Linked DNA regions of Sus scrofa. The protein of the gene in region 3 purifies or fractionates together with the protein of the main gene of each other region. This does not show direct contact. Links are inferred from orthologs where the notes say so. Each region holds a gene or a part of one and is shown on either strand. Other genes may lie near its edges.

What was found. Proteins that work in one complex are often made in the same cells at the same time.
Region 1: the proteins of NPM1 (region 3) and ABT1 purify together in Homo sapiens (co-immunoprecipitation; 3 studies listed by BioGRID and IntAct, with this or other methods). This does not show direct contact. The link is inferred for Sus scrofa from reciprocal best matches to the Homo sapiens genes NPM1 and ABT1.
Region 2: the proteins of NPM1 (region 3) and SMARCA5 purify together in Homo sapiens (co-immunoprecipitation; 3 studies listed by BioGRID and IntAct, with this or other methods). This does not show direct contact. The link is inferred for Sus scrofa from reciprocal best matches to the Homo sapiens genes NPM1 and SMARCA5.
Region 4: the proteins of NPM1 (region 3) and RPL6 purify together in Homo sapiens (affinity purification with mass spectrometry; 4 studies listed by BioGRID and IntAct, with this or other methods). This does not show direct contact. The link is inferred for Sus scrofa from reciprocal best matches to the Homo sapiens genes NPM1 and RPL6.

Annotation. Positions count from the first base shown.
Region 1 is NC_010449.5:21,022,984-21,027,719, forward strand, and holds the start of ABT1 (activator of basal transcription 1), read left to right. Parts: upstream 1-1,657; 5' UTR 1,658-1,712; coding exon 1,713-1,944; intron 1,945-2,624; coding exon 2,625-2,830; intron 2,831-2,986; coding exon 2,987-3,367; 3' UTR 3,368-4,736.
Region 2 is NC_010450.4:84,221,865-84,226,515, forward strand, and holds the start of SMARCA5 (SWI/SNF-related matrix-associated actin-dependent regulator of chromatin subfamily A member 5), read right to left. Parts: upstream 3,080-4,651; 5' UTR 2,560-3,079; coding exon 2,383-2,559; intron 1-2,382. UniProt on the Homo sapiens protein: ATPase that possesses intrinsic ATP-dependent nucleosome-remodeling activity.
Region 3 is NC_010458.4:52,779,008-52,783,532, forward strand, and holds the start of NPM1 (nucleophosmin), read right to left. Parts: upstream 2,856-4,525; 5' UTR 2,639-2,855; coding exon 2,581-2,638; intron 656-2,580; coding exon 576-655; intron 1-575. UniProt on the Homo sapiens protein: Involved in diverse cellular processes such as ribosome biogenesis, centrosome duplication, protein chaperoning, histone assembly, cell proliferation, and regulation of tumor suppressors p53/TP53 and ARF.
Region 4 is NC_010456.5:39,300,826-39,305,525, reverse strand, and holds the start of RPL6 (60S ribosomal protein L6), read right to left. Parts: upstream 3,080-4,700; 5' UTR 3,061-3,079; intron 2,164-3,060; coding exon 1,939-2,163; intron 1,859-1,938; coding exon 1,760-1,858; intron 1-1,759.

The DNA.
Region 1 (4,736 bases), on a different chromosome or scaffold from region 3:
GGCTTCAACGCACAGTGAAAATCAGTCTGTGATCTAAGGGCAAATCTTTTGTCAGGGAGGGGAAATGTCCCCCTCTACTCCTCGAGATCTTGTGGTTGGACACGCCGCAATAAAATTGATACTAGATATTAACAGGAGAGAAAGAAACAATTTTAATTCATGAGCCTGGAGGTCTCATAGAAACGGCACCTAAGAAGTGGCCAAAGCAGACAGCTTTTACACTTTTTAGACAAAGAAACAATAAATTTATGAGGAACTGACAGGATAGAGAAACGCTGGTTCCCAATTAGTGAAGGCTCAAGTAGAATTTGGACTTGGGGTACTAAATTAAAGTACGGTTTATGCATCCTTAGCCAAGAATTCTCTCTCTTTGGTGATAATGGTGTCCTTCTACCCCCAAATGCAGGGAGTGCACATTTCACATGAGAGATTTATTTCCTGCTTTCAGGGAAACAGAAAGAAGTGTTAGAGAGTTCCCCTTGTATTGACCATGTCTTCAGTAAACATTAATTCAAAATAACCAATATGCCATTCAGGCACATTTTGGGGTGGCCCACCCTGGGCCCTCAAACCGTGAAAATAAGTCCCAGAGAGAATAAAGCTCGGTGATCCAGGAGGGGGCCTAAATCAGGACCATGTACACATTTGACGACAGGTATTTGTAACGTAAGTATAAATATGAATCATGTATCAATACAAACGTAAAACAGGCACCAAATAAGTTTTTTTTAAAAGAAATAATCGTCATGCATTCAAAATTTTTAGACATCTTACAAAATCAAATTTTATTTTTGTCTTTTTGCCTTTTCTAGGGCCGCACCCGCGGCATGTGGAGGTTCCCAGGCTAGGGGTCTAATCGGAGCTGTCGCCGCCAGCCTACTCCAGGGCCACAGCAACGCGGGCTCCGAGCCGCGTCTGCAACCTACACCACAGCTCAAGACAACGCCGGATCCTGAACCTACTGAGCAAGGCAAGGGATCAAACCCGCAACCTCATGGTTCCTAGTTGGCTTCGTTAACCACTGCGCCACGATGGGAACTTCACAAAATCAAATTTAAAAATATTTTAAAATAAATTTTTTTAAACTAATAGCTCACAAATGAAATTTTCAAAAATGTAGCCAGATTTCCAAAACTTATATTTCCAAAGTTAGGTTACATTTCCAAACTTCAATTTGAAATCTTCAAATCCCTAAGTTAAATTTTGAAAAATAATTAAAATTTCAAAACTCAATTAATTAATTAAAAAAACTGAAATTTAAGTAAACTTTACAAATTGCGTCATCCCCCAACCTGAGTCGCACCTGAGCCCCTTGGGTAAAATACTATGTTGTGTTCTTGCTAGAACACAGAGTCCTCCAAAATTTCCGGAAGAGCCCTCCTCATCCCATCTTTTTACATTTCACCAAGGAGTTCTGTACTGTAAGTTGTACTTGGTGGTCTACCTCTCCAGTTCTGCCTCTTCAGCTCAGGAGTCAAGTCATTTCGCCTCTCCTAATCCTCTGATGCTGCTCCCTTGCTTCGAATCTCCCGGCTGACCCGGGGCCCACTTCCGCCGTCGCCGTTAGGCCTGGAACCGCCCGTTCCGAACAATCCTGTTCTTTCATTTGTCAACCCCTGGACAAACCCCGCCCCCTCGACGCAGGAAGTCGTAAACGGTGCGCGTCAGAGGCGCGGCGCCTTACGGCTGTCTTGCTTTACTTACCGGCAAGCATGGAGGCAGAGGAGTCGAATAAGGAAGCCGCTGTGTTGGAGCCTGTGGAAGGGAACGACCAGAAACCAGAAGCAGAGGAGGAATCTGAAGAAACGGCTGGCGGCAGCAAGAAACGGGTAGTGCCGGGTATTGTGTACCTGGGCCACATCCCACCCCGGTTTAGGCCTTTGCACGTACGGAACCTTCTTAGCGCCTACGGCGAGGTCGGGCGTGTGTTTTTCCAGCCGGAAGGTAAGTGCTGAGGCAGTGGTGATGAGGGGTGGAGGGTGATGCTTGCAGATGGTGAGCACACAGTGCGTGTCCTGTTGCCTCGGCTGCGCGGATCCCAGGCACGAACCGAGCCGGGGCCCCGCGTGTGGCTTTTTTAGTAAATAGGTAGTCCACACTTTCCTTAGGAGGTGGGCCTGAGGTGTGGTTAGCGCAGTATGACTAGTTGAGCCTTAGTTTTCGAATAGCTAACTTTTAGATTTTAATTTCGGCTTCCCCAATCCCTCTTTCCCGAGACGAATTTACCAGTTTGTTAAATGGGTATAGCCTGCAGTAAAATCCCAGTGGCTTTTCCACAAAACTGAACATAACCCTTTGCCATCGCGGTCCAGGTCAAAAGACGGTATACGTACGGTCAGCCGTCTGCAACTTCTTATAACCCTAAATTGGAATTAGGGTTAGAGGGCCATGCTGGTTTTATATAGAATGTTCAGGGCAGATCTGATTAAGGAGTTGACATCTGAGCAAAGGATTGAATTAGACAAGGGAGAAAGGGTGGACCTTTCAGTTCTCCTTTTCTGAGCAAAGATCTTGGGGTGGGATCCTGGCCCTTGGGCAGATTTGGAGACTTCGGCAAGTGGAAGGTACAATTGAGTGGGTGCTGCGTCGGCTTGCTTGACCACTGCTCTCCCTTTGGCTCGCAGACGGCTTCGTGAGGCGCAAAAAGAAGGCAGCAGCAGCCTCCACCACAGGAGGGAAAAAGCGTTCCAAGTACAGCAAGGACTACACCGAGGGCTGGGTGGAGTTCCGAGACAAGCGAGTAGCCAAGCGTGTGGCGGCCAGTCTGCACAACACGCCCATGGGCTCCCGCAGGCGCAGTCCCTTCCGTTATGACCTGTGGAACCTCAAGGTGAGGGCATTGGCTTGTCTACCCCACAGCTCATACTCCTGCCTTCCCAGCCCCAGCCCTTGGACCTCTATAACCTCTCGGTGGCCCTGTTCCTCCCATCTCTTCTCCATCTCTGACCTGCCCTACCCAGATCTTCTCTTGTTTTCCTGTCCACAGTACCTGCACCGTTTTACTTGGTCCCACCTCAGCGAGCATCTTGCCTTTGAGCGCCAGGTGCGCAGGCAGCGCCTGAGGGCGGAGGTTGCCCAGGCCAAACGTGAGACTGACTTCTATCTTCGAAGTGTGGAGCGTGGACAGCGTTTCCTTGCTGCTGATGGGGACTCTACCCGCCCGAATGGCTCCTGGGCCTTCGCCCAGCGTCCTACTGAGCAGGAGTTGAGAGCCCGGAAAGCAGCTCGGCCAGGAGGACGTGAACGGGCTCGCCTGGCTAATGCTGAGGAACAGGCCCGCTCCAATCGAGGGCTTCTTGCCAGGATCTTTGGAGCCCCTGCACCCTCAGAGAGCTTGGAGGACTCCTCTCTGGTCAGGAACTCTTGAGGGGCAGAGAGGCTTCTTCCACCTCTTAGCCCAGCCCTGCATCCTGTCTACATGATATTTACTACCCAGGTGGACATTTTATTGTGTTTCTCAGCAGGAGTCTCTGATGCGTGCTCAGGCATAGGAGTGTTGTCAGCCTCCCCAAACTCCTGTACATGCCTGGCTGGGGCACTTAGTTCCTACTAGCATGATTATAACTACTGTAGACGCCTGTTTTGTCTTGTTTGATTCTTAGCTGCCTGCCTCCTGCCCATCGAAGCCCTCTAAAAATCCTACTTTCTGGCTCCAGAAAGAGCTCTTGCTTTGAGCTAGAGTGATAATGGCTGGTCTAGACAGCTGTTTACCAGCCACAGGTACTGGGTAGCAATGATATCCTTTTTATTTAGAAAAGACTAATAGGGACAGGGACTAATGAGGTAGGAGTGGCGTGGGTGACCCCTTCCAAATGTATTTATAGAAAAGAAAAAAGTATATATTTGATATGCCTTTGTAGTTTATAGGGGGTGGGGATGGTCATTGGATAAGTTCCACCTTCTTTCTGTGTACTGGTCACTCACCTTCACGCCATGTCCTGGTCTAAGAGTCTCCCCTGCTCCCCAACCTTTTCTATATAATCACTTTCGTAGGCCATGTTGTTAATCCTTATTGATTTCAGCATTTACTAAATCACTGTGTGAGGATATAGAGTGACAGTGGGTAATAACACATGGCCCTTCTACTAAAAAAAGACAGGTGTTTAAGAAATAAGTATACAGAAGTACTACAGATACCATGGTAGATGTGCATAAGGGGTAGAGTGGGGCCATGGGAGGGAATGGTTGGCTTTTTCTGGGAAGTTAGACAGTGCTCTCAATGTGTTGTTGATTTCTGATCATTCTTCTGAGATAGGTCAGTTTTCACCATGTTTTTCAGATCATTCCTGAAAGGTGAACAGAAGTCTGTAAGGGCCTAGTGAACTCTTAACATTATAAACAAAACTCTAGATGGAGTGTTGGGTTCAAACCATTGTAAAGACAGGGAATGCCTAAGAGGTAGTTGTGCACAAATGATGCCCATCTGTTGCGCTTGTACATGGTGCCTCTGCTTAGGCAAGAGAGGGGTGACAATCATGCAGAGCAGCTCTGGAGGTGACAAAGAATCCCTGTAAGCCACTAAGAGGAACTGAAAACTGAGGTGTCATGACCAACTAAGAAAAGTCTGCAAACAGCCTCATAATAGATTAAAACTCTGGTCAGTATTCAGGCTTTTAAGTTTATAGAAAATGTTAGAGTGAGAATAAATAATTTGAGTTTTGCTTGTGCTGTGTTTTTTTTTCTTCACTGTCATCAATATAATTATCCGTATGGTCTTTGGATGAAGTGGATTCATC
Region 2 (4,651 bases), on a different chromosome or scaffold from region 3:
TTTGAAAGTACTTTTTATTTCTTTAATTTTTTTATTTTTTATTGTCTTTTTTGTCTCTTTAGGGCTGCACTCGTGGCACATGGAGGTTCCCAGGCTAGGGGTCTAATTGGAGCTGTTGCCGCCAGCCTACACCACAGCCATAGTTAACTCCAGATCTGAGACGTGTCTGCAACCTACACAACAACTCCTGGCATTGCCGGATCCTTAACCCACTGAGCAAGGCCAGGGGGATCGAACCTGCAACCTCATGATTCCTAGTCAGATTCGTTTCCACTACGCAATGACGGGAACTCCTAAAATATTTTTTTAAGTTGTGAAACAGATTGTCAGATACGTTACACATGTATGCAGAAATCTAGTTTTTAACCAGTGAACTTCAATGATTTCTAAATTCAGTTAAGGAAAAAGAAGAGACTGAAGGTATTTTTTTTTTTAAGACCCCCCCCCCAAAATGAAAAAAAGAAAAACCACCCTATAATGTAAGGGAAAAAACAAAAACTAAAACTATTCAGTGAAAAGGTGGATAAAACTACTGATATTCCTATACTGAGAAGGTAAAAGATAACTAAATCATTCTTTAATAAATAAAAATTGTCAAACATCTTTTTTTAAGACTATGACAGGGCAAGATACGTGGGGAAATGGTCAGCTTCAGAGCCAGACCTGGGTTCTATCACAGGTTCTACTTACCAGAAGACTCAATTTTCTCATTTGGCAAATAAAAATACCACTGACTTCATATGGTCCTTGTTATATCCTTAATAATCATAGTTAAACTTTTATTCCACTTTAACTTTAAAAATAGCAACTGAAGCCAAAATATTCAGTTTAGGCTTTAAATTATTCTGCTTTCTGATTCTGTAACACCCCTAGTGAGACTGTGCTTGTTATTCCAAAATTTGAATGACAGCCCCCTTTGAGAAGCTGAGAACAGCAAAACATCAATTTGTTCAGAACGGTATATTTACATACAATTGCTTTCAATGTCAGACTTTCAAACCCCCTTAGGCCAGGAAGCAGGAATCCACGTTAACCCTGATAATTCAAAAAACGATTTAAAACCTAAAGAGAAAAATAGGCAACACCAGACAGGAATTTGAAACAAATCTCAAGACACCGAAAACTACAGAATACCAGAAGTCCTATTCTATCGAGGTCCACCTTCACCTAAAAGTTCTTCCAAAAACTAACGTGTTACTTCATCCTAGACTAGACCGCTGGGGCCCAAATAAAACTACTGCGCCAAATGCTTCAATGGTAAACCGCGCTACCATTTCCTTATTGCGTTAATTCTGCAGCAATGTTCATTTTTAAAGCAGTATTACCTTAGCTCAATCTATCTAAGGATGGAAAAGTCCCAGAAATCTCTGGCCTGCGACTATAACATATATCAAAACAGATCGAAAGCCAAGAATAAAATTTGGAAGGAGCAAGCAATCACTTTGTTCCCAGACATCGCAAAGCCTTGGAGCACACCCAAGAGACCCGCCTGGCTGTTCCCCAATCTTTCCACCCCCGCAGTATTGTCACCATCCCCTGGCCGGCCAACCCCAGCCCAGAAGGCAGGCTCCGCGGCAGGGAGGGGTACCAATTCTCAAATACAGGCCAATGCCCTACAGGAGTGCTGGTCTGAAAACCCCCAACCCCCCCCCAACCCCTGACTCACTAAATCATTCATCCTTCCATCCATCACCCCACCCCCAAATTAGATGGGGGTTCCAGACAGCTGCCGCTGCCTTGGTCGCTTCCCTCCCAATGGAACAGCGCCTGGGAGGAGCCTCCTCTCCCTTCACAGGAGCAGCTGCGCCCCGCTTATCCCCACTGCGCCCTCAGCCATCCAGCTCTCGCCATTGTTTCTGCCCAGAACAGATACCGCCCCCGCAAGGACCGGGATGAAGAAAAGGAGGCCCAAATCCTCGGATGCGCTGCTTTTAAATGCCTTCCCCACCCCGTCCGTCTACCCTCGTTCCTAAAGGGAAATCTCCCTCCCCCTCCCCCCAGGTTTAGTGGAAACTAAAATCGAGATTCAGAGATGGGCGAGGGAATTATGGGAGCCTCACTTAAAAAAAAAAGTCGGCAGATCCGTCTCGGCCTCAGTAATCAAGAACATGTGTCTAATAAGAGCGTTTGAGGATTTGGCAAGGTTCGCGAAAGAGACAAATAACGCAAATATGAGGTGCCAGAGACCCAGCTGAGTCTACTTGCATAGGTAAGCAGAAGGGCGCAAGGGAGAGCATCATTTCGGATCATCCAAGGGTCTGAGGCCGAGTTTGGGTGCAGAGGAGTGAAGTTCGGCTTCGCGTTTTATCACCAATACACAGCAGAGGGAACCAGTTCCTCCTCCCTATCCCGCCCTCTCCCCATGCCACAGGCCGTCCTTACCTCCATCTCGGAGTCCGTGGGGCCGGCGCCGGCCGCGGAGGGAGCCGCCGGGACGCCGAAGCCCTCGGGGCCGCCTTTGTTGCTGTTGTTGCTCCCGCTACAGGCGGCGGAGGATGCGGGCTTGGAAGGCGCGCTCTCGGGAGGCGGGGGTGGCGGAGGGTCGGCCGCGGACGACATGATGTTCCGTCTGCGTCACCCGCTGCTGCCAGAGGCCCGGCCCAGCAGGGATGAGGAGGAGGCCTAGGCCTGGGTGGCTACGTCGCAGTGAGCCGATGGAGGAGCGGAAGGACCACCCGAATGCTTCCTCTCCGCAGCTCGGCGACGAGCCCAAGCCAGGCCCAGGAGCCTCCCCCTCTAGCTGTCCTCCTCTTCCTCCCGGCTCTGGGTTCGACCGGCGCTTTACCTCACGGCGGGAATCACGTCGACGAGGGTGGGCGGGGCCACCCGGGTCACTGAGGTCAGAGAAGGCAGGCCGATTTACAGGAGGGCGGAGAGTTGGGGGAAAAAGAAAGGAAAGCAAGAAGGACCAAGACCAGGAACTAGCCTAGCCGCCTCCTCTTCTTCCTCTGGTAGATATCAGGTATCTCGCCAGCATCCAGGTCTACTACCTACGCCACCGACTTTCAACACTCGCGAGATTGATAGTTAGCTAAGAGACCGGGGTTTCAAAGTACGCATGCGCATTCTCTACTCCAAGCTCTTGGCCACGCCCCCTGTGCCCCTACGGGCTCTAGGGCGATGAGTGGGCGGGGCCTCAAAGGAGGGCTCGGAGACGTAAGTTTGTGCGTCGGTTTCCGGGCGTGACGCCACCGCAGTCTTACAGTCGTTCTTAACGGCTCGCTGTGCCGGGTCGCTGTGCTTCCCCAGCTTGGCAGTAATCCCAGCGCTGCTCGAAAAATTGCCCGGGTCTTGCGCCGCCTGCTGCAGCGTAGAGGCTTCTGCAGGCCTCTCTTTTACCGCCTCCGCTTATTGGCGTGACGCCACAGAGTTGACAATGATACGGTTTTCCCAGTTGACGTCTCACTGTTTTGTTGTCTAAGAAGAGTGCCTGTTAGTGTGATTTTTGTTTGTTTTGTCATCCTTATGTTAGCTATATGATTGATCATTTCTAAATTCCTTCTTCGGTAGAGTTAGACGATATTTCCTCTAAGTTTACATGCTAAAAGTAAGCAAACTGCGCCAACCACCATGTGAGAAACAAGAGTAATTAGCAGATAAGAAAGAGAGGTAATAGGTTATATCTTTTCCTCAACCACCAAATATTAAATAAAAACAGACATTCTTCTAAAAAAGTGTTACAAGTAATCACTGGTTTGTACATTGCTTTACGCTATGTTCAACACAGCCTTTTGCATCCACCTACTGCAGAATTTAAGCACATGGTGTTCTATTTGACAGCAAATCTGCATACTGCACTAAATTGTTATTTGCCCTGCATAGGCTCTTACTCATCTTTATATCCCCATATCCAATATTCTATTAGTACGTATTGAATAAAGGAGACAAACTTGTCAAGAGTCAAGGTTTGACCAAACCATTGACTATGCTGAATTACAAACAGAAGGGATTTCCTTTGAATATTTAACCTGCAAACTTTTAACCAATTCAATGATAATTCTTTGAGATCTGGAAGAATGTTCCCCAGCCTATTAGAAATGCCCTGTCTGAGACTCTAGGGAACCCCCAAGGATAGATAAAAAGAAAACTATATAAATGATGATCATCATCGTCTTTATATGTACTTGAGAAATGCTAGCACAATATAGTCCAACATTGAAAGTTTGATTTTAAAACTGTTGTATACCACAAAGTGAATTATTATTAACTTGTAACAACCAGACTGTAGAAAAAAGTTTATTATATAGTAGTAACTAAAAAATTTTAACAGTTCAAAAATATAGATAAAACTTTGGAAGGATAGTCCTAAAATTATTGAAAGTGATTGTTGTTGATGTATATTACCTAATTCATTTTTGTTTCTCTTTTTTTATTTTTCTAAAATGAGTTTGTGTATTATTATTTATTTTATTTTATTTTTTTGCTTTTTAGGGCTGCACCCTGGGTATGTGGAGTTCCCAGGCTAGGGGTCCAATTGGAGCTACAGCTGCCAGCCTACACCATAGCAATGCAGAATCAGAGCCATGTCTGTGACCTACCCAACAGTTCACAGCAAGGCCAGATCCTTAACCTGCTGAGCAAGGCCAGATATTGAACCCGCAGCCTCATGGTTACTAGTCAGATTCATTTCTGGTGCACCGCAACGGGAACT
Region 3 (4,525 bases):
CCACCTACAATTTAAGTAGTAGGCTATAGCCTAGTCTCTGGGGAACAAGATGTATATTTGTCACTACCCTAAAGAGTTTTTAATACAACTCAAGAAAAGTAGATGACACAATAAGGAAAGCTGGGGAGTTCCCATTGTGGCTCATTGGATTACCAACCCAATGTGTATCCATCAGGATGCGGGTTTGATCCCCAGCCTCCCTTAGTGGGTTAAGGACCCCATGTTGCCAGGAGCTTCAGTGCAGATTTGCACAGGCAGCTCGGATCCTGTGTTGCTGCAGTGTAGGCCGGCAGCTGCAGCTCCAATTTGACCCTTAGCCTAGGAACTTTCATATGCCATAGGGGCGGCCCTAAAAAGCAAATAGAGAAACAGTAACAGTGAAAATAAGGAAAGCTGAACAGTGTGATTGGACTGTTCAAAATATCAAATGAGTGGTAAAGACGGCAGGTTTTCTATAACACACGTGGAAAACCAAGCATATACAACAACTATAGAAATACTTTTCTAATGTTAAGCCACACAAATTAAGCGGTGTCTGAAATCGAGAGTACTTTGTCTTGAAAAGTTTTACGTACCGTTCTTAAAGATAACTGGTGCTCATTTTCATCATTATCCACCTTAAAGTGGTAATCTTTATCGGCCTTTAGTTCACAACCTGTAAATGAGGAAACAACCCTACTATAACAAGGAGAAAAATAACACTGAATGAAACGTCACTGTGGGTAACCAAAAGTTACTTGATTTTACTATTCTATTCTAGCTACCAAAAAGCAAGGCAGAAGTACCTCTTACAGGCCTTCTTGAACACACAAGTCTATAAACATCAAATAACATCCATATAGAGCAAATAACTTTCATAGTTTTATAAATTCCTCCTTTCCATCATACTATTTTATGCTCAACTACACTCTTCTTAGGTGGAAACAGTATCAAAGATTTAGTAAAAGCTGGAACTTAAACCAAACCTAACATATGTTGATAAAAACCCCACTATTTTAAAAAGTTGAATTACCTACCCCAACTCCCAGGAGGAGTGCCAATTTAGAAATGACAGTGGTTACACAAACACATACATCGACAGCTTGTATTTACAACACAGAAAGACTACAAAGTAGGAGAACTAAAGGTTGTTACACGGGTCCACAATCCATCTCTGAACTAACAAGTGATATATATAAACTCTGTTCAGAAATTATATCTAAGGCAAAACTAGAAATATCCCAGGGATATTTCCGAGGGTAAACACAAACGTTTTTGATATAAACTGATCAGAAACTCCAGCTTTTCAAACCGGCTAAGAATAAAACCCTTAATGTATAGCGCATGTTACCATTACCACTCATGAATAGGCAAACTGATTTTAATAGTCAGAACTAAATTTTAATTTAAATAATACCATTTAATTGCCATCTACTTATTTACTGCAAGAGATGTATAAATGTTCCTGCTCAATTAACATATCTCAGCACGATATATAACAAAATGAACTTGAAGGCATTTGCACTTCTTCAAAACCTAACCGAAAAAAAATGGCTTTAACAATTAAGTTTAGTGAAGTTGAAAAACCAACCCAAGTCTCCTAGGATGGCACTGTGTGATTGAGGTGAGCAACAAAACCTTGGTAATAGAACTACAAGTTTAACAGAAGGCTGCCTCTGCTGCCCACCTCCCAAATCATTTGTAAAGCACCAGCTCTGGAAGCAAGCGTTGTGGGGTTGGAACTATTAAGTGCAACCTTCAGTTTTCCGAGTATCAGTAAGTCATCTGCAAAGAGCGCGGAGAGATAGAAAAAGAACTCTAGAACTACCAGCACTGATGTTAACCACTTAACAAAGACCTCAAGAGTACTGGCGCTACGAACCACTTCACCTAAAATTTCCCGTCCACCATCCTCAATTAAGCCCCAGGACCCCAGGCTCGGAGTGACAAGACACCAGTGAACCCCGGATGTAGCGCCCACACCCCTCCTTCCCCCAACCACGTGGCAACCACGTGCTCCCAGCGGTAGCGGCCTCCCCACGCCGGGCCGCGGCTCCCATCCCCCTGTAACCGGCCGAAGAACCCGGGCCGAGTCTGGGCCCTAGACCTCCTGACCCTTTAGGCCTGTAGGACAACGCCAGGCTCCATTTGTCCTCTCCGTCCAGATAGGAAGCCCACGTCTCACACCCTGATCCCCCACAATCTCTTGCACCACCAACCTGGAGTCCAGCATCAGGCACTAGTCTGGAATCAGAAGCCTACCAACTCACGCAACCCCAGGAAAAAATTATGCCCGGAGCTCTACCACGTGCCCCAGCTAACGCCCAACCCTAAACCGGTGGGTTCCACATTAACTCAGGCCCTGGGCCTCGGACCGCTCACGCTTCAGGCCGCCCTTACTTCCCAGTCACTCCGTGGTGCCGGCTCGCCCTCCCAGGTCCCCATCCTTAAGCTTCAGGACCCCAGCAGCTCGCTTCCCACTCCCGCAGGCCTCCAGCCTGCTTAGCTTTCTCCACCTGCCCAGGCCTCAGTGTGATTTCCACCACCCACTCCAAAGCCACCAGGCCGCGCTCGGCCTTGGCCCAACACGCCAGTACTTACCGAAAAGATAGTTCTGAGGCCTCAGGGGGCTCATGTCCATATCCATCGAATCTTCCATGGGTTGGTGGCACGCACTTGGGTGGGAGAGAAGGCGGACGGAGATAATCCACTAGTGTTGCGGAGAACAGCCGCGCAGGACGGAATCACACCAGGGAAAGGACGCGGGCTCCCTGCGCACATATATAGCACCCTGACGATCTCGCGAGAGCTCTTCAAGTCCCGCCTCCGCGCGCGTGCTCGGAAGCCCCCCTCCCCGCACAGTCTCTCTCCTGCGCAAGCGCTCTTCAACATCACTCCTTGCTACCTCGCCCCCCACCTCCTCCAGGTACTTCGCGGGCTCCCACCGAGCACGCGCATTCGTACCCTGGTCCCACCCACTTCGCCGCCACCGCCTGTGCGCACGCGTACTTCCCCCTCGTAGCGCGCGTTCCCCCACCCTCCAAACCTTCCACGTCCTCTCCCGCTCAGGAGCGCGGGCCTTGCGCCAAGAGCCTGCGCAGCCCACCCTGCAAAATGGCGGCAGCAACTCTTAGCTGGGTTAGGTACGAAGGGCGAGCTGGTTGTAAGTGAACCAGAGAGCAGCTCATTTCTCCTTTCGCCATCTCCTCATGCCTCGCAGGCCTGCAAACAGGCATAACCACTTCCAGTTTTTTGGCTCGCCTGAAGGCCTGAGCCCAGAGTTCATTGTTTCCCCAAAGTTAAAGCTTAAGGTGCCAGAGACAGTGGACTACGGATTGCCACTTGTTGGGGAGAAAAGATGTAGCTGCTGGCCAGACTTAATCGGTTCTGTTTTTAACCCCCTGTCCTTTCTGAGGAAACATCTCCGAATTTAAAATTCTTCGACATTACGTCACTGGGAGGCCAACAGGGGGTTCTAAATCGGTCTCTTTCATATGAGCAGGGCAGGAACCAAGCCTGGGTGATTTCTCCAAAGAGAAAGTTTTAAAAGGGTTGTGTATCCACCGTATGTCCCCACGTAACAGGTAAGAGGCAGATGTGACTATCCCCATTTTGCGGACAGGGAGACGCGCCACGAGGAAGTAAGGTGCCCAGACGGAGTGGTTACAGAAACAGGGTTCTCTAGCTCCAAGTCTAATACTAACACCTGTCTAAAAGCTCGGGGGATTACACGGGGGTCCAGTGTCTGAGGTTGTGCAGTTCTTAATCTTTAACATCACTAAGGTTGTTCTGGCCTGAAAAGAAGGCATTTGACGTTTAAGAAATACACAAACTTAGACTCTGGAAGCGAGCCTGGAAATGAGTATCTTAAAGTACGCTGTCAAACTGAGGACCACCCTTCCCCCAACCGCAGCTCCTCGGGCAGGGGTGCTGAAGATCCCCACAATTATGGTTTTTACACAAATTTAAAAAATTAAAGTACTGTAAAGAATAAAAATAGTGACAGCAATCCCCTACCGCCTTTTCTCCAAACATAGGCTACTTGGGAAGATAAACTGTGATACGCATGAACCAATAATTAACAGAATCAAAATTCAAAATGTGGAGAAATCAATGCTTATTTGTGAATGGACTAAGCTGTTCTCCGCTTTTCCCTGCTCCCAACTGAAAAAAGTCTTTACCAGCTTGGTTCTAGCATCTTTTAAAATGCAGAGTGTGACCAATTACTAGAGAAAAAAACCGAGTCTTGGAAAGTTACTACGGATTGCCACTTGTTGGGGAGAAAAGATGTAGCGGAGAACATCCGTAAAGGAACTGAGAAAGGCTGATAAAAGGGAGGAGAGGACTGTGCCTGAGGCGGATTTAGAGGTGTTAGAATGAGAGAGAGAAAGAGCTACAGGGGAGTGGAGAAGGGGTTAATGTTCTTTGGGCCCCTGCAAGAAAAATTGAAATGACTTTATAATTTCTTTCAGCTTTCTAGACCATGATTATTCAGTGCAGTTTTGCACAGAGCATGAACTCTCTGGGAGCCATAGTGCATATTATA
Region 4 (4,700 bases), on a different chromosome or scaffold from region 3:
TTAACAAATCCGACTAGGAACCATGAGGTTTCGGGTTTGATCCCTGGCCTTGCTTCAGTGGGTTAAGGATCTGGCATTGCCATGAGCTGTGGTGTAGGTTGCAGCCGCAGCTCAGATCTGGCATTGCTGTGGCTCTCGGGTAGGCCAGTGGCTACATCTCTGATTCGACCCTGAGCCTGGGAGCCTCCATATGCTTCAGGAGCGGCCCTAGAAAAGGCAAAAAGACCAAAAACAAACAAAAAAAACCCCCAAAACAAAAAAACAAACCCCCAAAAAACCACTGCATTCTCACTTCCATAATTTTAAAGATGAAAAAGGTTATTTCTGCTTCTATAGCTTTATTTTATTTTTTGCTTTTTAGGGTTGCACCATGGCATGTCGAAGTTCCCAAGCTAGGGGCTGAATCTGAGCTGGAGCTTCCAGCCTACGCCACAGATCACAGAAACACCGGATCCTTAACCCACTGAGCAAAGCCAGGGAATGAATTCATGTCCTCATGGATCCCAGTATGGTTTGTCACCCCTGAGCCACAATGGGACCTCCCTGCTTCTACAACTTTAAAGGCAAAACATAGGGTTGAATTCACTTAATTGAAGGATTAAATGTTCAAGCAAGTTACCTTTGTAAATTCGGGATTAAATAAAATTTTAGTGATTACATGACAAGCTATTCATTATACATTGTCCGTGTAGCACTGACTCTCAAGCTTTTCTGGGGTTCCCAACCTCTAATGTAAACTACACTTCTTCAGAAACACATGCCCGACACATTCTGCATGTTATGAAAAGGACATGATTTATTTTCCAATTCAAAGTGTGTTCAGGAGTTCCTGTTGTGGCTCAGTGGTTAACAAATCTGACTAGCAACCATGAGGCTGCAAGTTCTATCCCTGGCCTCGCTCAGTGGGTTAAGGATCCAGCATTGCCATGAACTGCGGTGTAGGTTGCAGACTCTGCTCGGCTCTGGCGTTGATGTGGCCGTGGTGTAGGCCACAGCTACAGCTCCAATTAGACCCCTAGCCTGGGAACCTCCACATGTCGTGGGAGCAGCCCTGGAAAAGGCAAAAAAGACCAAAAAAAAAAAAAAAAGGTCCAGATGCTTCACGTTATCATGCATTATTCCCATCTTGTCCAGAAAGAAAAACAAAGACATTAGTTTAGATCAGGACTGTCAGTTCATTTATTGTAATAAGACTGCCCCCATAAAACCTATTTTGCTAACCTCACGATAACACCTGTTTCTAACTCTTATTATTTTAGTGGACAGTCCTGCTTTTACCACAAGCATTTAATACCTAATTTAAAAACAGCTCACAAAAACCTGTGACAAGATGAGACCAAAGTGCCATTTTCATTCTGGTGCAGTTATCATTCAACTGGGAAGTGTACTATATCTGGGAATATTCCCATAATAGAAATCACAGAGCGAACCTTTCTTCCTCACAGAGAAAATGTTGGGTCTTGTGCACAGTAAAGAGGGGCCAAGACACACTGCTCTAGGGGATACACGTTCTACAGGCCTGGCCGCTTCCTAGGCTCTCATTTTAAAGTCTCACAGCAACCCTGTGAGGCAAACCTTTATTCCTGTTTTACAAGAACCAAAGCACGGAAACTTAACTCTGAATAATGTCAAGTTGCACAAACTCAGAACTCACACTATTCTCCATTAGTAAATCTCTGGTAAACAAAAACTTCTAAAACCCCACACAAGTTTCAAACTTTGGCGGAACAGTCAACTTACAATATTCCAGAAATCTTACCATTTTTCGAAGTTTAACAACTCGGGTACCACCATTCTTGTCACCACCAACGGGTTTTGTGACAGTAGCAAGAACTCTCACCTTCTTTTTCTTTTCAACCTATCAGGGCACAAATGCATCAAAAAGTCAGAGTCGCACACTTCAAGACCAAATGGTCAGTGGTTCCCCTCATCCCTTACCTTGGATTTAGCTGCTGAATACTTCCTCTTGTACAAAGCCTTTCTGGAATACATAGCCGATCGGGAATATCTGCCAATTCCTCTGACCAGGACAGGGTTTCGGCTGCAGTGGGGCTTCCCCTTCTTAACCTTCTTAGCCTTTTTAACTTTACCACCAGCATCAGCCTTCTTGGCTTCAGGCTTTTTCTCCTTAGTTCCTGGCTTCTCAGCTTTTTCACCCGCCATCTACCAGTGGGTACATTTTAAAGAAGGTATTTCACCATTTATCTCAGAGCTGTACATGAACAGACTTCCTAGGGGACAAGTCCTCATCCTCCCTCTTCAACTAGCTGTTAACATCCTTTACATCCCTCCCACTACAAGACCATAGGCCTTCCTCCAAATTCCCACGTCTGCAACATCCATCACGGTTGTCTCCCCAATACACTGTAACTTTTTGGACGATCTGAAGACTGAAGACTATCCCACACCTGTTAGGTGCTTGCTGCATATTTAGCAGTCACAAGTCCCTATTCCATTCCTCTTTTGCGAACTAGAAGTCCAGAAACAGAGCTTTACCAATCTCCAGTTAGGATGCCGAAGATAGAACTTGAAATCATTTGCTTTCAGGGCTTTTGCTTTTATCAAACTGTCTCACTCAAGAAATTCTGTTTAGAAGGCGAAGACACACACGATTTGCCCAAACTGAAAAAAGCGCAAAGCGCAAGGAGCGACTTCCGGTCACAGACGTGGAGACGGGAAAATCAGCATTGGCCACAGACTCAAATACACAACGTGGCTGGGACAAGCTCGGCGGCGTCTTCTGGAACCCAAACTCGAGATTCCGGAACGCGCGCTGTCGCCCTGGCCCCTGAAGCCCACTAGCCCGCTACGGATCCCTGGAGGGACCTATTCCTTCAGTCCGGGAGGGTGCCGGGCTGCCAGAGCCTATTCGGCATTCCGCTTCACCCTCTACGTGCCCCATTGTAAACCCAAGCGAGATAAATAAGCGTCTAGGAGGTCTCCCAGTTGGCCCTGACGCGTCCGACACCCCGCAGATGTCGACTTGATACCCTCCGAGTTAGGATGGCGAAGGATAGGGGTCCTGAAATCGAGTCTTGCAGAGAACCCCGCCATTCTTACCTTGCAAGATGGGAAAGAGAACTAAGGCCTCAGCTTCCGGTCTATAAGCGATCACGGGAGGTGTGGAGTCTCATTTCCTTCCGGATCTGAGGCATGATGGGAAGTGTAGTTTCCCACCTTTGTCCTGTATACGGAGCTGTTTTTCTTAATAGGAGGCGAAAGCGGAGAACGTTTTGTCTGAAAAAGCCTCATTTAATAGCCCAATAAAATTCTCAGAGTAATTTTGGGAACCTGCATAAAGTTGCAACTTTTTATATTTTGCTTACCAAATATATTAGAAAACACTACCAACGAGTTCCCGCTGGCGTTGTCTCTGCAGCAGCTAGGATTTTATTCCCAGCCCGGTCGCAGTGGGTCCCGAGTAGCCACAGCTGTGGAGTAGGTAGCAGCTGTGTCTTGGATTCGATTCGAGAAACTTCTATATGCAGATCCTAGGAAGCTTCCATGGGCGGAAAAGTGGAGGGGAAGCACTACCATTTTCAATATAAGAAGGTATAGATGGTTGAAGGACCTAATCCTCAATTTAAACGAAATCCCTCCGATGAAAGGGACCTTCCACAGACATTTTCTCCACAGTTGCCTACTGCCTACACCCCCTAAAGCTTAAAAGTAGAGGGTCAAAACTAAAATTTAAAGTAAGTGAAATAGGAGTTCCTGTAGTGGCTCAGTGGTTAACGAATCCGACTAGGAACCAGGAGGTTGCGGGTTTGGTCCTGGCCTTACTCAGCGGGTTAAGGATCCGGCGTTGCCGTGAGCTGTGGTGTAAACCGAAGATGCGGCTGGGATCCCGCATTGCTGTGGCTCTGGGGTAAGCCGGTGGCTACAACTCTGATTAGACCCCCAGCTTGGGAACCTCCACATGCCGTGGGGAGTGGCCGTAGAAAAGGCAAAAAAGACCAAAAAAAAAATAGAAAAATTAATAAATCACTTCTTCTGGGAGGATTTGGAAAGTTTTGCGGGAGATGTTTTTGTGTTGGATTTGGAAAAAATAAGCACAAATCTGGCAGATGAAAGTGGCAACTGGAAGAATAAATGCAAGAGGTATGGAGACATCAAAGAGCATAGTTGTTCTGGGAGTTCCCTGTTGTGGCACAGGGAAATGAATCGATAGTTCCACGCTCAGTGGGTGGGGGATCTGGCCTTGCCCTGAGCTGTGGTGTAGGTGGCAGGCCTGCTCAGATCTTGCGTTGCTGTGGCTGTGCTTTTTTTTTTCTTCTCTTTTCAGGGCCGCATTCTCTGGCATATGGAAGTTCCCAGGCTAGGGGTCCAATCGGAGCTAAGGCTACCCCCTCTACGCCACAGCAACACTGGATCCCAGAAATGTCTGCGATCTACATCACAGCTCATCGCAACTGCCACAGATCTGACAACGCTGGATCTGGGAAGGACTGAGTGAGGCCAGCAATAGAATCCACATCCTCATGTATACTAGTTGGTTCATTTGTGCTGACCCACAACCGGGAACTCCCTTCGGCAAGGATTTCTGGTCACTTTGTACTCTATTCCTTCGTTTCTGAAATGGAGATAATAATATCTAATCTCACCATGCCCAGGGGCACGTGAAATTCCTCTAGCTAGGGTTAAATCCTGTGCCACTGTACCAAGGAGAGTTGCTACAGTGACAGCGCCAGATCCTTAAT